Drosophila melanogaster: one gene and its partners. The protein of the gene in region 4 purifies or fractionates together with the protein of the main gene of each other region. This does not show direct contact. Each region holds a gene or a part of one and is shown on either strand. Other genes may lie near its edges. The genes, in order: Inos, CG11267, CG9467 and Fim.

Region 1 (6,135 bases), on a different chromosome or scaffold from region 4:
AAGTGTCTTACCGGACATAATTTAACACTCATATAATATTTTATACTTTAATATTTAGCAACAATCATCGGGATCAAACCGATTCAACTGTCAGAAAAAAAGGTTGACATTTTTAGCAGCAAGACCACAACAGATAGCGTTTTTCGCCTAAAAGGTGGCATTTTTTTTTCTATTTCATGTTATTTTCATGCCTTCAAAAAAATGAAATTGGAATATGAGAACAAAAAGCTTCTAATATGATAATAACTAAACTATTTGTACCAAACAAACGTCGTTATTATTTACCCATCTTAAACTAAAATTTACTCATACTAAGAACTTTTGAATAATCTTCGAGAACTAAATTTTAGGCTAAACGTGGATATTAATTAAGTATTTCAATGCAGGAACTTCCTTCCATTGTTGTTTCCCAAACATTTGAAGATGTGTTCCATATCCAGTAAACTCCATGATCTCTAAGATATGATATGATATGATCGTGCTCATAAGAAATAAATATTTGTTTTGTGGTATACAGACAACAGTCTATTACGCCTTTTTATATTTAAACGATTCAGTTAGTAATAGTAGCTTAAGTCTATTTCGTAGTTTATCCAACTAAAACCATATATATTCCAATTATATATTCCGATCGAAAATCAGGGATGCGGCCATCCATCAGTGACCATTGCCGTTAGTGGCCAGCTTGGCGGACCCATTGGAGTGTCCATTGGCATGGAGCTTCTTTCCATTGGTGACCGATTCCACGGAGCAGGGCTGGCCCAGGATCTTGACCCTCTTTAGAGGCGGCTCATTTGTAATGGTAGAAAAGTCGAACTGTGAATAGAAAGAAGAAATCGAGGATATTAAGGATCCGAATGATTGCTTTTGACTTGACCCTACTTACCCGCTGCTCCAGGGTCATGTGTGAGATGGGCGGCAGACCAATGCAGCCACGCAGGATATTCTCTATGGCGGCGCGCTGGCGGAAGAGCGAGTTGACCACCTGGGAGCCCTGGGGCACCAGTGGAGCCTTGCACAGATAGCTCAGCAGGGAAAGCACTGGCTTGAAGGGAACCCACGGGGCGGATTCCTTCTCCGCATTGCGCAGCTGGATGCGAGTGCTCAGCTCGCCGAGGATAACCAGGTCCAGAATGAGCGGTGTGGCCAGCAGCGAGTCCTCGCAGGTGTTGTGGATCACCAGGGTGTTGTGGCCGCCCATCATGATCTCCGATGTGTACTCATCCATGGCCCGCTTGCTGTCGCCCACATAGGGCACGTACTTGATTACCACGACGTGGTCGGGGTGCTCATCGGGTCCGTACAACAGCCTGTTGGAGGCAACCATGTCGTCCACCACGTTGCTCTTGGAAATCTGCCGGAGGAGGAGTTATTATTAATAAGAGGAGGAATCCTGGAAATCCTGGCTGGACTCTTACCTCCTTGGAGCGGAACTGTTGAGGAGCGGACAAGTTCTTGCCATCGTTGTTGCCCAGATGGTTGTAACTGGCAATGGACACCGGCTTGATACCAGCTCCCACCAGGAAATCTACCAACACGCTCTTGATCTTGGTCTGACCGGACTTGAAGTCATCGCCGGCAATGAAAACATTCTTCTCCTCGGCCAGCTGGATCAGTCCGGGCACAAAGGTGTTCTGCGGAGAGCCGTTGATGTAGGTGCACTGTGGAAGTGGATACATGGTGGATTAGGTAATTAGTCTTGCTTATCAATAGAATGGAGGAGAATAACTCACCCCCTCGGCGATGCTGGCCATTGCGAAGATCGTGGAGGGTGACACCTCCGAGTGGTTGGCCTCCAGGGAGGCGATGAGCTCCTGGCTGGTGGTGTTCAGACCAGGCTGGACATCCGCGAAGCGCTCCGTGTTGGCAGTCCAGAGGACGATGACCGAATCGACGCCACTGCGCTCGCGGAAGTCGCGGATGTCCTTCCGGATTTGCTCGTACTGCTCCAGACGAGTGCCACGGATCACGTTGTCAGCCCGATCCGACTGATTGGCCGCGATGAAGTCGGGGTCGTAGATGGATGGACGTGGGCGCAACTGAGCCAACTGATCGTAGATCTGATCCTGCAGAGCCACGTCTAGGACCTCGGCCCTGCGCATGGCGTCGCCCAAATGCAGGCCACTGATATCCCAGCCATCCACGATAATGTTGTCGGGCTCCACCATGGGCAGCAGCTCCTTCATGGGCACGTACACGTCACCGCCGTCCTCATCGGATCCAATGAAGACGGTGGACGCCTGTGTAATGGAACCATACCAGTTGGCCTCCTGGACGCCCGTCCGCTTGCGCCACTTCAGCTGGCGACGATTGGCCTCCAGGGCGGCGGTCAGCGTGGATCCGTTGTTGCCACCCCATCCCACCAGCATCACGCCCAGCTTGGGCACATGGCGACCCGTCCGTATCTTCAGCGACGTCGTCTGGGGGTGCACCTGCAAGATCGATCGGTGATTAGAGCCGATAAGCAGGAGCAATGGCACAACCCGTTTGGTCTTATTATAGGTCCGGCCACCTTATCGATATTTCACATTAGCCACCCAAGTCAGGTAGCCGCATAAATTATGATCGCGCGATTTCTGCGAAGCAAACCTGAAATTCACCCCTTCCTGATATTGCCAACGGGGATATCTGCGATTGGGTGCTCTTGGCAACACATCGATTTAATTCGATGAAACTAAAACCCTATCTTATGTTACAATATGATATAGGTGTAAGTGAACTATATGAAGTATTAAAGTACCCAGGAAAATGGTATTATATAAGCATACAAAGGTACAATAAATTTTCATACAACAAATTTCGCGAAATCTCTATGGTCTGTAATAGTTTCATATGTTATGTTATCATCGGATGAAACAAATAACAAATGCATTATTTACACGTAAGAGGTATCGCACGATCGTATAACCGCATTTGGGTGTTGTTGATTTGGGCAGTTCTTGCTCGATTTCTGTTTTTGCCGAGTCAACGCGCTCTTTGATTTGAACCACAAACATGTCATATAGTATAAACTGATGAATAAGAAATGATATTGATGAAATAATAATTTGGGAACGTGTTGGTCCAAAGTCCGATAACAAGATGTCCATTTGCCGGCCTGCGAAATTATCACATTTCTTCAGCCGGCTAAGAGAGGAGCTCTTTCTCTCTTTACATTAGATGCTCTCTTCGCGGGCATCGCCTGACAGTGACCTTGAGGCGCAGCAAGTGTCCGTGGGAGGGAAGTGGGCGAAGGGAGATGGTTGATGGGTGGAGTGTATTGTTTGCAGGCGGTGTAAACAGAGCACGTACCGCGACCACAATCACTTGGAAAAATGGGCTATTGGGTTTCTAGTCGGGTGCACCAGCCCCATTCCTATTTATTTAGGTGCCATTCGAGCGGCCGAAAAGGCGCCTGCGCATAAAATCACGCCACTCGCGCTCGGTCCGGAATAGTGACGAGATATCTATCGGCCGTATTTGTCGTCAGCTGTTCAGCTGAGCAATCAATAAATTGTAACTGTAACGCCCCGCCTGTGTGAGTGCGATTGGATAGGAGGCCGGCCCTCTCTCTTATCGCTATTTTTGTCTTTTGCGATTCCGGGGAGTGGTCCCTATGGACTCCGAGAATTCGGCACAGCTCGGTCCTTTGCTGGATAATGGAAAGTTTCACTGGGTCAATTTAGTTGCTAAGTTAACGCTTATATTGGGGTAGCAAGTTTCAGTTCATTACGCTATAACGAGCTAACTCTTAGTTAAGATTTTAAACTAATTGTGCTTGGATGTGATACGTTAAGGATGTTCACAATTTAATTTATAGTACGAAATTAATCAAATAACTTTAACATGGTTAAATGGCCTTTTCATTAAGTTCATAATTTAAACATTGCTTGTTACAGATTTATATTAAAATTTATAAGATTCTGTTTTGTAAAATAGAATGCAATTAGTCATAGGTGGCCTATGCTGGACTCGAAACAAAATAAACCACTATTTCTTCATCCAGGTGAGAAATATTTTTCTCCGAGTGCAGGCGAGTGCGCATTTGAGCGGGAGAGCTTATCCATCCCGCCTGTTGGAAAAGTTCAATGTGAAGGTCAGCCGGAAAATGACTGTTCGCACCACATTCGATATCAATATCATTCAAGTGGATGATGCTTCCGATCAACTAGTGCCCATGGTTCGATAAGCAATCCCTTGACGATTGGACCTACCTGGAGCTGTCCATCGGCGGTGCGCTTCACATGGGATGTCTGGTAATCGTAGTCGGTGGTGATGAACTCATCGTCCACCTGCACTTTCGGCGAGATTACCTCCAGGGTTGAGTTATTGGTGGGCTTCATTCTGGGATGTTTTTGCTAACACACTCTCGTCTTGTCAATTAGCGCGTTTCAATGTGCTTGCTTCTGGAATTCCTGGCTTCTGCAAAAGAGACTGCGATGTGGTCGAGGCAAAAGTTCGCGGCGAATGACTCGGCTGAGTGGAAATCGGGCCGCTTTTATGGTCTCCCGCGGGCAGAGGCGCACTCTCTTATTCCGCGACTCATGTACGATATGTGCATATACTCTCCACAACGCTCTGCGGCGCACTTATAGGAACCAGATGATATCGGAAATTTTCCGGCAAGCGTGGGATTTCTTAGCGAGCATCGCGGAGTCCTTCTGTCCGCCTCTTTCCAGCCGGAGATCGTAGTACACCTATTTCCATAATTCATTGAGTGCCCAATTGAGTTTGAATTCGAGGAAATGGTTCAATCGTGGAATTTCCCACTTGCTCTTATTCTCAAATGGTTTGTAACGCTTTATAAAAAAATCTGATCGATTTCGTAAAAATTATGAAGAGTACTTTTAGTTCAAATAAAGTGGTATGAACGGAAATGAGAAATAAAACTCAAAACTCAATTCTTAAGAAGAGAATATTTGCAAATCCATTATAAAAGCTAAAGTCTAGGCATATTTGTTTTTTTTTAAACAGTTGATGTTATTTTTAAAAACGTTGGTAACAAAAGGGCTTGAAAAAGTGAACTATGTTTAAAAATATTGGCGAATATTTATATTTATATTCTTGATCAGGATCGTTAGCGTAGTCAATCTGGTAATGCCCGTATGTCTGTCCGTATGAGCGCAGGATCACCTGAACTATAGAAGCTAGAAAGTAAAGAGTAAGCATGCATTCTGGCCACGCCTACAATTTTCAAAAATATTTTGACCGGTGCGATTTTACTTGCCAATTTTTATCAGTATGCCAAAAAATTCTCAAATTTTCCCTTGCATTCCCACTAGCTCAATAACTCGTATCTGATAGTCGAGGAGATCGACTAAAGCGTTCTCTTTTGTTTTTATATTTTATTTCCATACATAGATACAATCCTATACTGACAGGCCTTAAAGATCCCTTAGCCTCGCTTGAATAATCTTTAATTAGTATTCCTACATCATTACATCATCATAATTATAATCAATTTCAAAAATCTCAGTACCATCTGTTGGATTGGAACTGCACACATGCATGAGTAGAATTCAATTCTCCGGTACCATTTAGCTAAGTCTTCCCGTGAGAGCAGGCCGAAGGCTTCGTCGAATCTTCTGGAAGCCAGATGTAAGCGAAACTTCTCAAAACTTTCCATTATTGCAGCCAATTGAGTGCGAAGGGAGCTCGAATTACTATTTGTTGATCAATCAATGCAGTGGGCCGTTCCGTTTGCACTGCAGATCAAGAAGGTTCCATACCGAATTGCCCCGCTGGAGCAATCAGCAGACCGGGCACATGCTGCAGTGGGTGTGGGCGTGGGCGTCTCGTTTCCCTCACATGCAACTCTATCGGCGGCTCAAGTCTGGCATATAGTTCCAGAAAAAAGCAACAACCAAATACTCGGTATCAGTCCGTATCCATTTCCTGCTGGGGGGCACCCTTTGGACGAAATGTTTGCACTTATATCAAATAAATGTATTTCGAGATTGCAAAGCGACCTTGAACTTGAGTAGCAAATACATAAAGTATTTAAATATCTTAAACAAGCGTACGATAACATTAAATAAAGGCTAATATTTGAAATATATGTATTTGTGTAGATACTGGTGGGGTCAGTATACGTCTAATATTATGTACACTTATGTATGTAAATTCCACTAAAAAGAGTAACTAAATCACGGTGAT
Region 2 (3,242 bases), on a different chromosome or scaffold from region 4:
GAGACTTTTGGTTTCTCTGGTATAGCGGGCTTTACAGGAGTTGTTGATTTATTATATTGTTCAATAAGGCCACCATCTTCTTCGTCTAGTGGAATAAAAGAGATTTTACGCTCCTCTGATAATATAGGGTTTACCGGATTAATAGTTAGTTCATTATTTTGTTCATCTTTGTTGGACGGCGGTTGGAAGTTTTCAGGCTTATCAGTAGTACGTATATCATTATCTTCCAGGTCTTCTTGTTTATCTTCAGCTTCAGAGTAATCAGAACTTTGTGCCACCATTTGTTTATCATTCGGAGAATCAGTAGTGGTTGTCTTTAACTTTAAAATGTCAGATTCCGGTTCACTTTCTTCATCGGGACAAGTCTCGCAACAGTATATGTTATTGACCTCCGTTTCATAAAAACTCCCGGGTGTGAGCAATGACGAACATCTTGCACATTTTAAGCATGTGCGATGATAAGCCCGTTTGCCGACAAGGACCCTTTCGGCGAGAAAAACAGGAAGGTTGCATTTCTGGCACTTATCACGTCGAGGCATCCCAACAATGTGCATCACCTTTTGCGGTGGCTCACTCTCTTCGCCAAGTGGCTCCTCTGGCTTCGGGTGCTTCAGGCTCTTGCCGAGCACCTTGTAAAACTGGGATAAATACGTTAGTATGGAGAGTCTATCAGGTACTTCATACGAAACCATGTCAGCTGCATCGAGCAGTGCGGGAATTCCCAAATATTTCTCGGCCGTTGTAAAGGCCAAATCGTTGTTCTCATAGATATCGTCTGCTTTAAGTCGGTCGAAATCTATAAGATCCGGCCGAAAGTGGTGTATTATGGCGCAGAAGGCAAGTCCATTTCGCCAGGAAGTGGTCATGTTCTCCACCTTGACCCCATTATATCCTTGGGTCACAACTCGGCACCAATACTCCAAAGCCTTCGTACCAGTTCCAACTTTTGTGCCACGACGATCAGACATTTTAGTGGGTTAATTGCTGGCTTATTGGCGAATATAACTAAACGAAAATAGCAGTCACAAACTGTAAACTAAGTGAACAACAAAAGCACATCGTGCCACTTGACTTGAGTAAAATCAAATAAGATTTATCTGGTACAAATTACATTAAATGTAAACAAGGCAAAACGGTGACTCAAATAAATCTCCCAATCAGATTTAGTGGTGGGAGTGTCAGCAGCTATCGATAGTTGTTTCGTGCTATTTTCCCTTCTTAAAAACAAGATGTTTAGAAAATTCTGAAATTTTTTAATTTTTCTCAGGAATGCCACACTTTTCAATTATTTTGTTGCTTGTCTTTATTGTCTTGCACTTTGCAACAGGGTGTAGTGTGAACAATCCGCTGCCAGAGTCAATCGATTTAAATCGCTAGTATCAATAGCAACTCCTTGGTTTGAACATACCTAATTTCGAGGAAGTAAACAAACAATTCTGTTTTATGTTTATTTTATATTATATTATATTTTAATATTAGTAAATTTGAAAAAATTAAAACACCAGTAAAGCCCAGAAGATTTCTGGGCTTCTGATTTAATTTCTTAAAAAACGATTATTTAGCTCAACAAAGATGAGAACAGAAAATTGCACAACATGTTTATTATAAATTAATGGAAATTAAATTAATATGTTTAAATTGCATATAAAAGGAGTAATTCCTGAAATTGGTATACAAGTTATTATGGAAGTCCACCCACCAGACTCATTTTCATCTTCATGTTTTATAGGAAATCAACTCGGCAATTACTTGGCGAAAAGTTTATTACCATTTTAAAAGTTATACACAACTATTAATTTTTGCATTGACTTCTCTCAGTGTATTCGAACAGAAAAAATTATTTCTCAATGTTATATCCGTGAAATAGCCTGGTCACACCGACGATAAGCAGTCCCGCATCTAGCGAGAATAGTTACGCCGGCACGTGTAGTTGAGTAAAAAGTTCACTCATTAACTTTTATCAACCGCTCCAGTTTGCATTTAAGAATTAAAATGGTAAGTTAAAAGTGCATTGCCCCATATGAGGTTTAGAAGACAGTTTGAAATCGAAGGATGATATCGGTTTTTCGAGAAGGTTCCACGGCTTTCGGTCCACATCCCATTCGCCGGGCTGTTGTGTAATCAATGAGAGAAACATGAAACATTGAAACATGGGTTAATTGTTGGGTCTTTTTTAATGATCCTCAGGCCGCCGCTATCAAGAAGATCATCCCCATGCTGGACCGCATCCTAATCCAGCGTGCCGAGGCGCTGACCAAGACGAAAGGAGGCATTGTTTTGCCGGAGAAAGCGGTGGGCAAAGTACTTGAGGGCACCGTTCTGGCCGTAGGCCCTGGCACCCGTAATGCCGTGAGTATTTCGCCATTATCAATGCAGAGATGGTCATCTAATCACTGAACATCCCACTTCATCCGCAGTCCACTGGCAACCACATTCCCATTGGCGTGAAGGAGGGCGATCGTGTTCTGCTGCCCGAATTCGGTGGCACCAAGGTGAACCTAGAGGGTGACCAGAAGGAGCTGTTCCTCTTCCGCGAGTCCGACATCCTGGCCAAATTGGAGTAGATCTCGCCTCCGGACACTGTCTCACAATTCTATGAATTCTATGCTTTTTATTAGTATGTAACACACCCACAAACCCGAAACTAAAAACTACAATAAAAGCTCATGCAATATTTTTGTTTGCATTGCGCATGGACCGTCATTGAATAAATTTCGAGTTACTTGTTAAAACTAGCAGCACAGGTGTTTTGTCATTAATCACATTTGTCATTTTACTCGAAAAAATATTGGATTCATTCGCGGAAAAGGTAGTTGCAGTAAATAAATTAATGATTTAGTATCAAATTTCATTCAGCAAGCAGAAGTTACGAATTATGTAACTAAATGTAAATACGAATTCGGAGTTAAAAACTAATCTAAAGAACAAATCCCAAACGATTTTACTCCCTTCAAAGTGAAAATTAAAGATTACACGTTTAAAACATACAAATATCTATATTTGAACTCCTACTTAAGGCTATGTTAATCCAACTTCAGGTTGCTCAGTCCATAGACCTGGTTAAATGCCGATCTCCGTTTGATGTCTGGCATTCCCTCCACAGCTGCCCGCTCTCGAGAGATCTTTACTAGAGCTTCAAAAGATCGCGGCTCCCAAATGGCGAGGTCGGATAGGACTTTTCTGAAAGATGTTATAGGTTGTTAAAGGATATGGGAATTTTCCGGTGGTACCCACTTGTTGAG
Region 3 (5,732 bases), on a different chromosome or scaffold from region 4:
GTTGAATTTGTGTACAAACTATTTGTATGAACGGCTCGACAATTGCTTCCGGGCGAGGGTGGGTAATCGCTCCAAGTATCTACTCCATTATTATTATTCTATCTCAGTACCAGTGCGTCCTATTTTAGGTAAATTAAAGGCAGGGGTCCCACTTGACGAGCCACTTGTTTAAATTGTTTATTAAGCACACCGGCGGTCGTTAGTGGGTTGTGTTTAGGCCAATGATATTTAAATGGCGGTCGGGGTTGGGTTGGGGTAACTTACCTACAATACACAAATGTATATTATATATATTTTTATATGTTTTGGCGTTTTTGCTGCTTTTTTACTTTACTGAGGTCCGGTATAGGCGTAGGATATCGTATATACACGTATTTACACACACAACACCCACGAGAATGCAAGCCAAGTATTTGTATTTGATAAATGTTAATGGAACACTTCAACCATCAAGAAACTAAGATAAAATGTTCAATAAATTATTGATGACACAACTCGCTCGCTATTTTGATATCTCTTTGTGTATAATTATCTTTATTTATATTGAATATGTATAGCTGTTTACTGGTTGCAACAAGGCGTATCATTATATTCATGTGTGGCATTGCATGCAACAGGACAGATTCGAATTTGAAGCAGTCGCTCTATCGATTTTAATCACAAGTAATCATCTTCAAGGTTGACAATCAACTGATTGGCTGTTTAATGAACTTTCTTTGCTTAAGGCAACCAATCTTATCCAAGCCGAACGATTTCGTATCTGTCCTGATGGAGCACCCTTTAGGAGAGTTGTGCTAATTATAGATGATCGGTTGCAGAAGTCTTATACTCTGGTTTACATGGTTTTAACTAATTTTCATAACTTTAACTAGAACAAAGACAGACGTTTTTTTTTTAAATTACTAACTGTACGATCCAAGTTTGGAGGAGCACAAAAAATGGGTTTACGGGATACACATTGCATTTGCAAACACATCGAGCACATATAATGGAGATTAATTGATTGGGTAAATGCCTGCTGGCAGTTCATCACGGCCCAGTGGCTGGACCGCGGGTGAGTCGCGTCACCCAGACGTAGATGAGGGCGCACACCACGAACTGCAGGAATATAAACTGGTAGTCGAAGATTAAGCTATACCTGTGAAATGTAAACGATGAAACGCGCCCGACAAGCGCCAATCAAGCAGCCGCTTCCACGTCTCATTCGTTGTTGTCGTCAGCCATCGGGATAGCAGCTGCCGGCGCCACAGCCTCTGGAAGAGCAGGTTGGACCTGAGCGGGCGGCTGGACGGCTTGGACGGCCATTGCCATTGCTGGTTCCCGATTTAGCAGGGCTATGTTGCTGGCTTTCATGCGGGCTATGGAGGAGGCCATTCCAGAGCCGTTGCCCATAGCTGATAGACACGGTGACATACAAGGTGTTGTGCATGATGAATTGCTGATTTCACACTGGTCAAGTAGGCGGAGAAGCTCATTGGTGTCGGGTCCGCCATTGATTTTCTGCTGCGGCTCATCCTTGGAGAGCAGCGCCAGTGCAGTGGTTAGGTCCCACATTTGAATAGCGCCGTTGCAGTGACCGGTGAGTATGAACCGGGACGATACCTCGCACTCGAGCACACAGAAGGCCGAAATTGTGGAGCTATCTACGGATCTAATGACGCACACCCGATCACCGTTGGAGGCCAAGCGTACGTACAGCTGATCCGTCTCGGGCACCACCTTTTGCACAAATATCATGTCGTCGTAGTCACCGTAAGGTCCAAAATCATTTCCAGCCGCATAGCTGTAGCTCGTATCGGTAGCTTCCAGCGACACGATTTTGAACGATGCTTCCGGCGTGGATCCCGGCTGGGTGGAGAGCATGCCCCGGAAGCGGGTCAGACGCCATGTTCGCACGTGGTGGTATTCGCTGCACACGGAGACGAGGTATTTCTCCGACAGCATCACCTTCGTTACGGGGCTTTGGTGCACAAAGAAGGTCTCGAACAGGTGTGGTCCATGGCCAGCTGTCTCCGGATGCTGGACAATGATTCGAACCGCTCCCGACTTTGTGCCATAGGCAATTTCAATCCAATTGCCACTTATGCTCGAGGTTTTTGGGGTAAGGTAGACCGAGATGGCCGTGATAGGGTCTAGTGTGACATCTTTGTAGAGCTCGGTAACCAGTAAATCATTGTCCTTTATCCGGAGCGGGAACTTCTGCATGTCTATGTAGTAAATGGAGCCGTTGTTGCAGCCCAGCAGCAAAAAAGAGCCTGCGGAATCGAATGAGAGCACGGGCACTAGGTCCTGAATCTGCCAGTGCTGCGTCATCGCATGCCAGACGCCGATCTTGCCGGAAGATGACAGGGCCACCAGCTGACTGCCGATAAAGAACAGGTACTCCACTCGCACATTTAAATTAAACGTGCCCACATCCGTTTTCTGGCCGCCCTCCTGAATGCTCCACAATCTTATCTGACTGCCGTAAGAAATGGCCACCATCTTGCTGGGCAGTGGCTCTGCTGCGGAAGTATTCACCTTTGAGTTGATGGCGATTCTTTCGATAGTGGCGTCGATGTGGGGCGATGTGAACACCTGCTGCCATCCGTTGGAGTCTTTCACCCGGTAGCAAGTCACAAAGTGTGCGTAAGCCACTGCTATCCAATTTTGGTGCGCCTTAATGATTTGCACTCGCAACGGGTCCACCCAGTTTGAGTTCTGCGTGGGACTGAATACCAGGCCAACTTCGTTTCGAAAGACTTTGTTCAGATCGGCCGAGGAGTTCCGAGAGTGGCGCATAAAGTCAATCGAGGGATTACGTGAGTGCAACATGGGAGCTGGGGGATTGGCACCATTGCCAGTGCTACCTGTGCGACCAAGGCGCAGATCCCATGATGAATTGCGCGAGTGTGAGGAGCGTGAGGGTTCGGGAACGCGCACCATGGACCCAGGACGACTGCCAATCGCACTGGCCGAAGTGGAGGGCAATGACTCGTCAACGCTAGTAGCAGCCACAGCTTCGTTTGACGGCATGGGCGGCGCCGCCAGAAATCCGTAGAACAGCAAATCACCGCAGGACGAGTGGTTAAGGTCTTCGCAGAGGGCCAGGCGCTTGGTCAGCGGCGTGATGCCATAGTACTCGGCCTCATGGCGCAGAGCGCGTATTTCGCAGTTCTTGATGTCGATGTCCTTGGTCCTTAAGTAGTTAAGTATGATCGAGAAGAGCGTCGGATCGCGATCAATAAAGATGGCATTGTGCTCGTCTCTGAGACTCGAGATGCGTCCGCTGAGAAGAGCCGTGAAGAAGGTGTCCGGGATCCACGTAAGCGTTTGCCGCGACGTGGAAAAGCTATGGATAGTGAGATGGAGTTTGCATGCGTCATCAATGCCGTTAGTGGGCCGTAATGTGTTGGTTCTTTGTTCTTACCGCTGACCACCCACATTGAGGTTGACCAGGTCGCTGCTGGAGGCATGCGTGAAGTGGGACATGGCAATCCGATGACCCGCGGGCTGCCGCAGCAGCGGACGGTGGGGATTGCTCTAAATGCGCCTCTATTTGTGTGGCTTCCGTGCTCCCAGCGCTCCAATCAGCAACTGATATGGCGGAGCAGTGGCAGCGGCGTCAGCGGAGCAGATAACTCGCGATTTCGGTACCCAACCCACTTGACGTGCGCTGCGGGGTGCAATTTATTCGATTAACTCTTTGTGCCAGGCTATTTATTTATTTATTATTTGTTGCACTGCACTGTAGAAACTAGGGATGGGCAAATTGGTCGTGACTGTTCCCAGCCATGACGAGTCACTGTTTACGGGGGGTCCCTGTTGCATTTAGTTGTTTTGCTGAACTTTCCACTTTTGATTTTGTATGTGTTAACTCACCAAGGTTTTTGATGGTTTCCAAACAACAATTCATCATTAAAAAATAATTAATATAGAAATAAAATTAATTTGGGCATCAGAAAGTATATGCATTTCCACAATTATAAGCAACGATATTTCTTGTGAAGCAGTGTACATCTCTAACTCTCGGTTAAATTCCCATGCAATACGGTCATACCACCTTTTCGTCAAGCAACGGTTTATTTCGCTTGGTGGTAAATTTGAAAATATTGTAAAGTTATGACTTGTATTAAGCATCAAAACAAAAAGCTCATGGATCTTGCTGTCACACTCTGAGCCTTTGGAACTACGCTTTAGTTTAGTTTCGGACACCACTCAAAATTTCGAAAAAGCCCAAAATGCCGGCGGCGAAGTGCGGTTGTTTGAAGAAGGAGGCTCGCGTCCATGTCATCTACGTGGGTGGAACCATCGGAATGATCCGCAACGAGTCCGGAGGTGGGTATATCAATGGCTCTTGTCCGTGTACTAATCAATTGTTTCTCATCAGTACTGCACACCGCGCCCAAGGTGCTGGCTCGGCAGCTTCAAGAGTTTCCCAGCTGCCACGACAGGAATTACACCAGCAAGGATAATGATGGTCCCATGATGGTGCTACCCGCAGTGTCTGGAGCTCCGTATAGAGTCCTTTACGATTTGATTGAGTTCTGCCCACTGATGGACTCCAGCTGCATGGGCTTCTGCGACTGGAAGCGCATTGCCAACGAAGTGGGAGTAAGTTGAGAGTCGAGGATCATCAGGTTAATACAAAATATGCAACTAACTTTTTTCGCAGAAGACATACAAGTCCTACGACGGCTTTGTGATCCTCCATGGAACGGATACCCTAGCCTACTCCGCCTCGGCACTAGCGTTCATGCTTGAGAGCCTGAACAAGCCCGTGGTATTCACTGGGGCACAGATTCCGATCTTTGAAGCCCGCAGCGATGGGCGGGAGAACTTCTTGGGCGCACTTCTCATAGCAGGAAATTACAGTATACCCGAAGTGCTGGTCTTCTTCGGCAACAAGATTCTACGTGGCTGTCGCTCCACGAAGCTCAATTCTGACTCTTTTCACGCACTGGACTCACCAAATTTTGCACCATTGGGTCGGGCGAGTGTCAACATTGAGATCAACAGCCGCCAAATCTTCCGACCGTGCAATATTAAACCATTTTCACTTCATTCGGAACTCGAAAAGAACGTGGCGCTGCTGCGTATTTACCCGGGAATAAGTGCCAGTGTGGTGCAGGCAATCCTGAAAGAGCCAACGAAAGGTGTTGTCCTCCAGACCTTTGGGGCCGGCAATTTTCCGGTTAATCGTGAGGACTTGCTGGACGAACTGAGGGAGGCGGTTCACAGAGGCGTTATTATTGTCAACATTACGCAGTGCTCGGCGGGCATGGTGGCCAACATTTACGAGACAAGCCAGGGTCTGATGGAAGTGGGCGTAATACCCGGCTACGATATGACTCAGGAGGCAGCCTTTACCAAACTGGCCTATGTGCTGTCCAAGCCGGAGTGGGACATTCCCAACAAGAAGAAGGTGATGCTACTAAGTTTGCGCGGAGAGCTGACCACCAATAAGGTTGCCAAGATTAACGACATTGATCTGATCGAGGGCGTGGCCCGCACATTGCACATGTCGACGGCGATGGAACGGCAGCAGATGTGCTCCACATTCTATCCCGCTTTGGTGGCGGCCGCGGTCACCGAAGGTGATGTCCACAAGTTGGGCGATCTTAAGCAGTACGGCGCCAATCTGTGCGACACCAACTGCGATGGTCGCTCCGCCATGCACCTGGCCTGCTTCCTGGGCAAACTGAACTGCGTTTGCTTTCTAATTTCCGCCGGCTGTCCGGTAAATGTCCACG
Region 4 (7,890 bases):
GAATTATGACTTATTAAGTGAAACGGCTTTTATATTGGTATTTTTATTTTCTTTATTGTTTTACTTTTATTCTGCATATAATATTACTTCATCTTCTTCTTAATTCGTTTTTTCTCTTGGATTTGTATGTCGCCTCATTGCACTAAAAATGTTTGTTGCCCTCTCTTTCTACGCCGTGTTGGCGATACCTATTGCCACCTCGCTCTAACGCACTTAAACGCAAAATTATACAAATATGTAAAAAGAAATTGAACAAACACGCACGTTGAAAAAAAAACACATAAACAAAGGCGTCTTACAATTACTCGCAAAAAAATTTATAGTAAATATAAAATTAGTTTCTCTGTTTTTCTCGACTTCTTTTGTTTCTGAATATTCCCCATTCCTGATCTTCGTTCGTTATCTTTCTTTAGGCAACGCGTTTATGGAAAAATATATCGATTTATGTAAATTTATATGTTATGTATATAGACGCATATCGTAATCGTATATAAATATATATGTATATATATTACAGAGTTAATTGTTTTCGTCGCAATGTTAATATTATAATTCTTTCTTAATCCTGCACAAGTCGCTTTTTTTTTCTTTCTTTTGTTTCACCATTCTTTTCTTTTAAGGATTTTAAGCGGAACAAGCTAAACCTTTATTTATAAAATAAGGTTACAGTTGTATAATTAATCAATTGTTAAACAAAACTAATTAAGAAACACCCCGCCGGGCTCGAAAACAGATGTGCGACACTCTAAAATCTGTTTGCTTAATTACAATAGGGGGAAACTCATACTCAATTATATAATATATAAATATATAATAAAAAAATTACAAAAAGTAATTGAAATAAAAAAAAAACACAAAAATGTATTGGTAGCGCAGGAAGGAACGCAATCGAATAGAGTTATTAGTAATTAGCGAATACGACAAATTTACGTAGTTCCCACTCTGTTCTTCCCTTTCAAAATCCCATCCTTTTGTTTATGTATAAATGAGTTGTGGCTATGGCGCCTAATTGCTGTTGTTGGCGGAGCTGTTGTGGTTGTTCTGGTCCACACTGTCCATGTTGGGCACGTAGTCGAGGGCCATCATGCAGGCGAAAACGGTCATCACCATTTTCGGCTTCACCTCGGTGATGTCCTCGGGCAGGGCGTAGACACGGGCGCCGATCTTGCGGGCCATGGAGATGGCATACTTGGCATTGGCCAGGTTATCCTGCGGAATCAATAAGCGCTAGTTTAGTCTGCCACATATCATGACATAGTCAGGACTCACCTCCTGTGTTCCGCTAGTGCGCACCAACTCGTAGTTAATGCTGCCCTCCTTGATGGCATCGATCAGATCGATCACGATCTTGCCATCGGCGATGGCCGGATCGTTGAAGTTACGCAGCTGCGACTGTTTGCCTGCCTCCGACAGTCGGTTATTCACCCACTGGACGATCTCCTTCTCGATAATGGGGTTGCCAGTGTTGGCCAAGCGGGACAGAATGGACAGGGTGTAGGCACGCATAAGCTGCCAGATGAGAGCTGTAACCATAAGATAGTTCAGAATTGGTAACATCCAAAAATACAATTAGAATAGCAATGCTTACCCAACGTCAGCGTGGCATTGCCATCGTTTAGATCCTGGCCTGCGATTCCGACCAGCGAGAATTTGAGCTGCTTGCCCAGATCCACCGCATAGTTGCAGTTCTCCAGCTTTTCCATGAACTTGCGCAGCGGGCTGAAACGCTTGTGCACACGGCTCCAGTTGACAATACCCGGCTTGATGACGTCGAACAGCTGGAAAATGACCAGACCATCGGCCAAATCGGAGTAAAGCCAGTTCACGTGCGGTGCCACGCCCATTGAGTTCATCCAATTGCGGTAGGCTAGATAGAAAAATAGAAATGATTGGTGTAAGTTAAATATTTTCCAAATATGTATATAACACCTGAGTATTATAATTCTAAGTAATCGTATTCTTATAAGTACACATATATTATTGTATTATATTCTTATATTCTTCTTGTGATAAATGGTCTTGCGAGCTAAAAATTCCCGGTTTTTATGGCTTGCACTTCTTGTGCAAAGCCGATTGATAAACATATATATTTATAATTGCTTTAATTATGCTATATAAGTGGCAGTTGATATCTACATTTTTTTTATAAGAAACCCTGGATTTTTCCTGATCAACTTTGATTTCTTGTGTTTAATTTTCAATTAAATAAAAACGGTATTTTGTACCGATCTTACGTATGGCTAAATATTAAGTACTTACTCTTCTCTTCGCGCGTCTCCTCAATGGACTCGAGTCCCTCGATCTGCTCGGGCTTGTCCAATCCTGGATGGTTGTTGAACAGATTAGCCACGAAGGCTAGATTGAGTTTGTAGACTCCGTTGACGACATCCTGTGGCGTGAGGAAGCTGCGGCAGTTGAGCTTGGCGGCCTGCTGCAACATGATCTCCGCGCGCGACTGCAGATCGGATTCCCGCAGGGCATCCAGATTGACATCAGCATCATTGCCGGCAATTTGCTTCAGCAAATGCGAATAGATCTCAGAATCGACGATGTCCGACTGGAAGTTGGTGCACCGCCTCGAGATGCCGGCTCGCTCCAAATGATGGTTGACCCAACGCAAAAGGATGGCCTCCGGCGACATCTTCATCAGATCCTCGAGACGTTCGTTGTCGAAGAGTAGGCCAGCCAATCCCGGACAGCTGTCCAGGGTGATGTGGCTAAACAGACCGATGCGGATGATCTGCCAGAGAAGACCCAGCACCAGATGTGGCTTGCCCTTGGCCAGATCGTGGGCATCGATGTTTACGATGTTGCATCCAATCGCCTGGGAGGAAACCAAGGCCAGGGTCAAGTTCTCAAACTCCCGGTAGACGGTGAGGTTCTTCTTGTTGATCGCACGCTCATCGATTGTGTCCGGGCAGGAGTGGTTGATAATTTTGCACAGCAGAATACCATCCTTGATGCTCAGATACAAGCGCTTGCCCTCGCTATCGATGGGCAGCAGATGTTGCAGATCCTTGTCGTGGCCCAGATTCGAGTTAATCCAGTCGGAGAAGGCCAGCTGCTCCTCGAGGCGCACCGAATGGGTGGTGCCCTCCGACGAAATGCTCGACATGCCGCCCAGGGTCTCCAAGTTCTCCTTCTTGGAGACGACCGTCTTGAATGTGCTGGCCACATCCTTGCTCTTCAGGTCCAGGCACAGTGCCTCGAACTCCTCCAGATTCAATTTGCCCTGGAAGGCAGTCAGCTGTTTGCCCTTGTACTCGTCAATCATTTCGCGCACCTGGTAGCCGGCCAGCTTGAAGCCCACCTGGTTGAGGGCATCCTTTAGCTCGTGCAGATCGATGAAGCCATCTTTGTTGGCATCCAACTACAAGAAGGAGAGGGATTTTAATTAGTATTGGTTTAAAACAATTTGCAAAAACTATTAGATCTAGACAGTTTTCATTAACATTGGCATAAACATTATTGACCTTTCCTGAGGCATAAACTTAATTTCTGGCCTTCTCGGAACTCAAAATGACTTAAGGGGCACACCAATACAAATTGAATACAGGAAAGATCCATGAGTAATCCCCGGTCATGAGTAAGTTGTCCGCCGCCTATTGCCACGATCGATCTGTGAGTCATCAATCAAATCCGAAAGCCAAACACACAGCCGCATTCCAGTGCCTGTTTTATCTGCGGAATTCGGAATGCAAAATGCTATATTCCATCTCCCGCAACCTTATCGCTATATTGTCTGTGTGCCAGCCTTATCGAATTTAATTTCCATTTTTCAGTTTTCAGTTCGAGGGGTCTTATCTCCCACCTGACTGACATATCGCTGATTATCGAAAATTGTTCGCTTCAATTTATACAGTTCAAAAGCGTGAGTGGGCGCCACAGAAAATAAGAGAAAATATACAAAAAAAAAAAAAAAAAAGAACTAAAGAAGTGAAAGCCTGAACGAATGAATCAGTTTGTAAACACTTGAGATTCGGACCCGACTTGATTATTTCTTGCAAAGTTTAATGACTAAGAGGTGGCCACTTTAAATACTAATTTTAATCTAGCTGGGATTCCTTTAACAGATTTACATATAAGAGCTATATAATTAAACAGTCCAGTCAATTCGATATATTATTATATGGGTTTCACCACTTTACTTAGATTTATTAGTCATATTTAATGGTTTAAACGCGATTTTTGGTCAAAATGCTTGAAATAATTTAGATTAGATAAGCTTTTATTGTTGGCATCGAAGGGAAATATTTATGTTTATGGTTTAAGTTGTTACAAAATGAAAAATTAAATTAACAAATGCGAACCCGTTTGTTTAAAACTATAATAGCATTGAAAACGGTGGCTGATCTATGTTGCAGTGTATACTATCTTTTTAAACTTACTGAGAACTAACCTAACTCAATAATATTAAGGTTAAATTATTTGGAAACATAACATTTTAACGTGTAATAATGTATTATAAGTACTTTTTCTTAATAAAATATAATAATTTTGGAATATGTTTTGAAAATATTCCCAGCTGATATGTTTAATATTCCACATAAAATCATATTGTAGCTTAGTCCTCAACTATGCCACAGTTTAATAAGCTTGAAGTTAGTTAGTTTTGCTCCAAATTGTTGCGATTTCCATGGGTACCCCCCAATTCGAAATATCGAAATTGGTGAAAACCCAAGTATTCAGCCGGACGGTATAATAAAACGTTCGACATTTTCGCCATATTCGGTGTGCGAAATAGGACAAATCTGAGGGGAAAAGGGGCAGTTGGATCGGCTGATATACTGGACTGTGGAATTTATGGCTCACTGGTTGGTAACTCGGTTTAGTAGTGGTGCGTTGATTGCTCCGCTTTTGCTGTTTGTCGATAAGATAAATTTCTGTGCGCCAAAAAATGAACATAAAAAATCGAAAGCAGCACACGATTACGTGTATGGTAATGATATGATAGGTGGTTCACGGGTTTTCGCGGGGGGAAAACCGTTAAGCCAACGAGGGTGTTGTCCTTGGCCAAAAGAGAGACTATCAAGCGGACTGATAGCTGGGATATTCTTTTGGCCAACATTTGACTGACATCGAACGGAAGTGATTCTGATTTTCGCCATAATTTCGGGGGGAGGTCTGTAGTGGGTCAGTTTGAAGCGCGTGCACTTTATCGGAGGTGTTCACTGTAAAGGCCCCTCTTATTGGCATTGGGTATTGGTATGCGTGGCACCTGTCGGTGTTATCGATTAAAAAGCTATAAAGTGCTCCGAGAAAAGTTGATAGGGCAGAAAAATAAAGAGGGCGAAAAAAAAACACAGACACACCAAAATCGAGAGGGAGTGATTACGTGAATTGTGGGTCATAAAAAATTCAAAATTAGCGTTTTAAAGGCTGTTCAACTCAAGACTCTCAATTTAAAAACGAAGTTTTTTTTAAGTATGTGAGGAATTTAAAAATTAACATCCGTATTCAATTTTTCAAAGATGCTTTAATGCGATATCTTCCTTATATGCGTTCCTAATTGCATATTTTTGTATGGTATAGTTGTTTGCTTTAGCGGTTATCCACTGTAGTCGAGACCGTGGCGCCACCTACGTTGGGAATGAGCTCCTCGAGATTCTGCTTGAACTCCTGAACCGTTTGGTGCTGCTCCACGTTGAGAATATCGGCCATTATTCCAATGTATGTTTGCACGCGGAATTAATTTTATTATTTACGATATTCCTTCTGGTTTTCGTTGCGAAAACAAACAAACAACAAAAAATTAATTGATTTGCACACAGTAAGTACACAACACACGCACAAACGCGTCAGAAAGAGAGTGGGTGGTGCGCGAGCGGAAGAGATCTCCAATTGATCGGGAGAGAGCGAAAGAAAGTCGGCGCGAGAGAGCCAAGGATGCGAGCTTTAATTAAATATTTCTTGTAACTACTCCTTGCTTTCTTCCTCGTTCTTCGTTCTTCTTTCTTTTTTGGCTGATTCGCTTTCCACGGGCTATTGTTGAGTACTAATTGAGTGGTTCAGTGGAACGGACTATTTATGCCTTTTCTTTTATCACAAAAAAACAGAGGCAAAAAACAGCACTCCAATCGAACGGAGCCTTATCAGTAAATGAGAGAGTAAAAGAGGGGAGAAGCCGTGCAAAGAGAGGCAGACGAACACCTTTAGAAAACGCGTCATCCTGTATCGCTAAAAAAAAACTATGATAAAAAGTTACTTAGTTTCAAAAACGGCAAAGTAAAAGGTTCAGTAAATGTGCAGAAATCATCTATAAAGAAACATTGTTAGGTATATATTTTAATTTTCTCCTGGAAGGGACAAGATCCAGTTCCCTCCTTACTTTATTTCTTTCAATGATATTAGCCATTCTCTTTTGCTCTCTCCCAGGTGCAACAATACAGCAGGGTTGCCAAGTCGCCATAAAATGCGGGGTGATTATAACATACAAACAGCAACATATCGCAGCATAATTTAAAATATTTATTTCGTAATCTCTTATTTGTTTATCATTTTTTACATGTGAATAAATCGTTAAACTGTACACCATGAATGTACAAACGTGACGTAGATCAAGTGATTCAGCTTATAAGAAATTATGCAAGCTGTATGAATCGTTGCCTGGATAGTTAAATTTAGTTTTAGTTCATATTTCAGTTGATTCACTTGTCAATTTTCGGTCTCTAGCGTGACGTGGCAGCCCTATTCGCAACACTCTCAAAAGTCCGAAATCGCTTTCAACAAATTGCTTACGCATCGAAAAGTTTTCGTTTAAATGCAATACTACTTGGCGGGTGAACTTATAGAGAGATAATGGGAAAATGAGTGTAAAAAGTACCTGAGAGAGGGACACGGTATTTAAACGTAATTGGTTTTTTAATAGCCATTATATCAGCGAGGGAATTATGTGGCAATTGTCATTTCGGTTAGGTTATAACTTGTACAACATAAATCTAATTCCAGCCAAGATAATAAAAGTTCGAAGCGCGATAAGACAAGGAAATGCGACAATAAACGTTTAGAACTTCCTTCGAACATAAAAACCAGGGGGTTAACGTAAAACTTTAAAGGATCTTGTGTTCAGAAAAAGTCCTCAAGACTGCCAAAATATCTTAAAAAAAATAAGCTTTGCAGATAATAAAAATCGAATAGTTTAAGAGCACACTTTCCCCAGTGTAGTTATGCACAGTGGCCAGTAGTGTTATCGATCAGTTACTCGCGATGACTAATCGCTGGACATACAAAGGCTTTTGTTGTTTGCTTGTAAGTGTCGCCGCTCCTCGATCGACCGATATTTCGAATTAAAGAGAATAAGCCCAGCTGAGCAAACGCATCTTTTGTTATAAAACAGTTGTTGTTACATAATACTATCCACAAGTTTGAGCAAGAGCAGCTGGGCTTAGTCCTATAGGTAATGCTATCAGATTGGTTGCAATCGAAAATGTTGTGCTAAGTACATATATACATATTTATATTACAATATATCTGATATATGTATGTAAATCTATCGGTCGTTAACCTTTCTAAACAGTTTACTGTTTCCCCTCGATAATTACTCCAAATTGCAATAATTTAACAAATATTTACCTCATAAGATGAGTTTATTGTACTTCAATTCACAAAATATATTGCACTTAATTAGCACCTGTAGTACGCCTACCATTTCATTGATTGGAACGCGTTCATTTACACATTTAAATTTGTTAAAAGCCACTTTCAAGTATCTTATTTACTGGCAGTAAGAAATCAAACACCAGAACCGCACACGCCTGACCCCAAGCAACTTTCTACGGGTTCACTTTTGGTGTCACCGATGTTTGCCAACCCTTCACCTATGTACACTCGAAAAAAAGGGCATTAAACAGCAATTTGTTTTTATTTTATATACTTATATGTAGTTTTCCT

Evidence for each region.
Region 1: the proteins of Fim (region 4) and Inos purify together in Drosophila melanogaster (affinity purification with mass spectrometry, with the first as the bait; one large-scale study listed by BioGRID). This does not show direct contact.
Region 2: the proteins of Fim (region 4) and CG11267 purify together in Drosophila melanogaster (affinity purification with mass spectrometry, with the first as the bait; one large-scale study listed by BioGRID). This does not show direct contact.
Region 3: the proteins of Fim (region 4) and CG9467 purify together in Drosophila melanogaster (affinity purification with mass spectrometry, with the first as the bait; one large-scale study listed by BioGRID). This does not show direct contact.

What each region holds. Positions count from the first base shown.
Region 1 is NT_033778.4:7,454,416-7,460,550, forward strand, and holds Inos (myo-inositol-1-phosphate synthase), read right to left. Parts: upstream 4,460-6,135; 5' UTR 4,323-4,459; coding exon 4,194-4,322; intron 2,433-4,193; coding exon 1,734-2,432; intron 1,662-1,733; coding exon 1,419-1,661; intron 1,355-1,418; coding exon 887-1,354; intron 817-886; coding exon 658-816; 3' UTR 507-657; downstream 1-506. UniProt on the Drosophila melanogaster protein: Key enzyme in myo-inositol biosynthesis pathway that catalyzes the conversion of glucose 6-phosphate to 1-myo-inositol 1-phosphate in a NAD-dependent manner. Rate-limiting enzyme in the synthesis of all inositol-containing compounds.
Region 2 is NT_037436.4:13,014,170-13,017,411, forward strand, and holds CG11267 (uncharacterized protein), read left to right. Parts: upstream 1-1,880; 5' UTR 1,881-1,992; coding exon 1,993-1,995; intron 1,996-2,187; coding exon 2,188-2,349; intron 2,350-2,417; coding exon 2,418-2,564; 3' UTR 2,565-2,734; downstream 2,735-3,242. Other genes in the region: MICAL-like, read right to left, coding at 1-968; mRpL20 (mitochondrial ribosomal protein L20), read right to left, coding at 3,024-3,180, 3,235-3,242.
Region 3 is NT_033777.3:9,797,260-9,802,991, forward strand, and holds CG9467 (uncharacterized protein), read right to left. Parts: upstream 3,768-5,732; 5' UTR 3,472-3,767; coding exon 3,410-3,471; intron 3,332-3,409; coding exon 1,201-3,331; coding exon of another isoform or gene 1,030-1,200; 3' UTR 510-1,029; downstream 1-509. Other genes in the region: CG8526 (uncharacterized protein), read left to right, coding at 4,221-4,317, 4,370-4,593, 4,655-5,732.
Region 4 is NC_004354.4:17,285,668-17,293,557, forward strand, and holds Fim (fimbrin), read right to left. Parts: upstream 6,003-7,890; 5' UTR 5,662-6,002; coding exon 5,584-5,661; intron 3,371-5,583; coding exon 2,260-3,370; intron 1,868-2,259; coding exon 1,589-1,867; intron 1,524-1,588; coding exon 1,270-1,523; intron 1,210-1,269; coding exon 1,006-1,209; 3' UTR 37-1,005; downstream 1-36.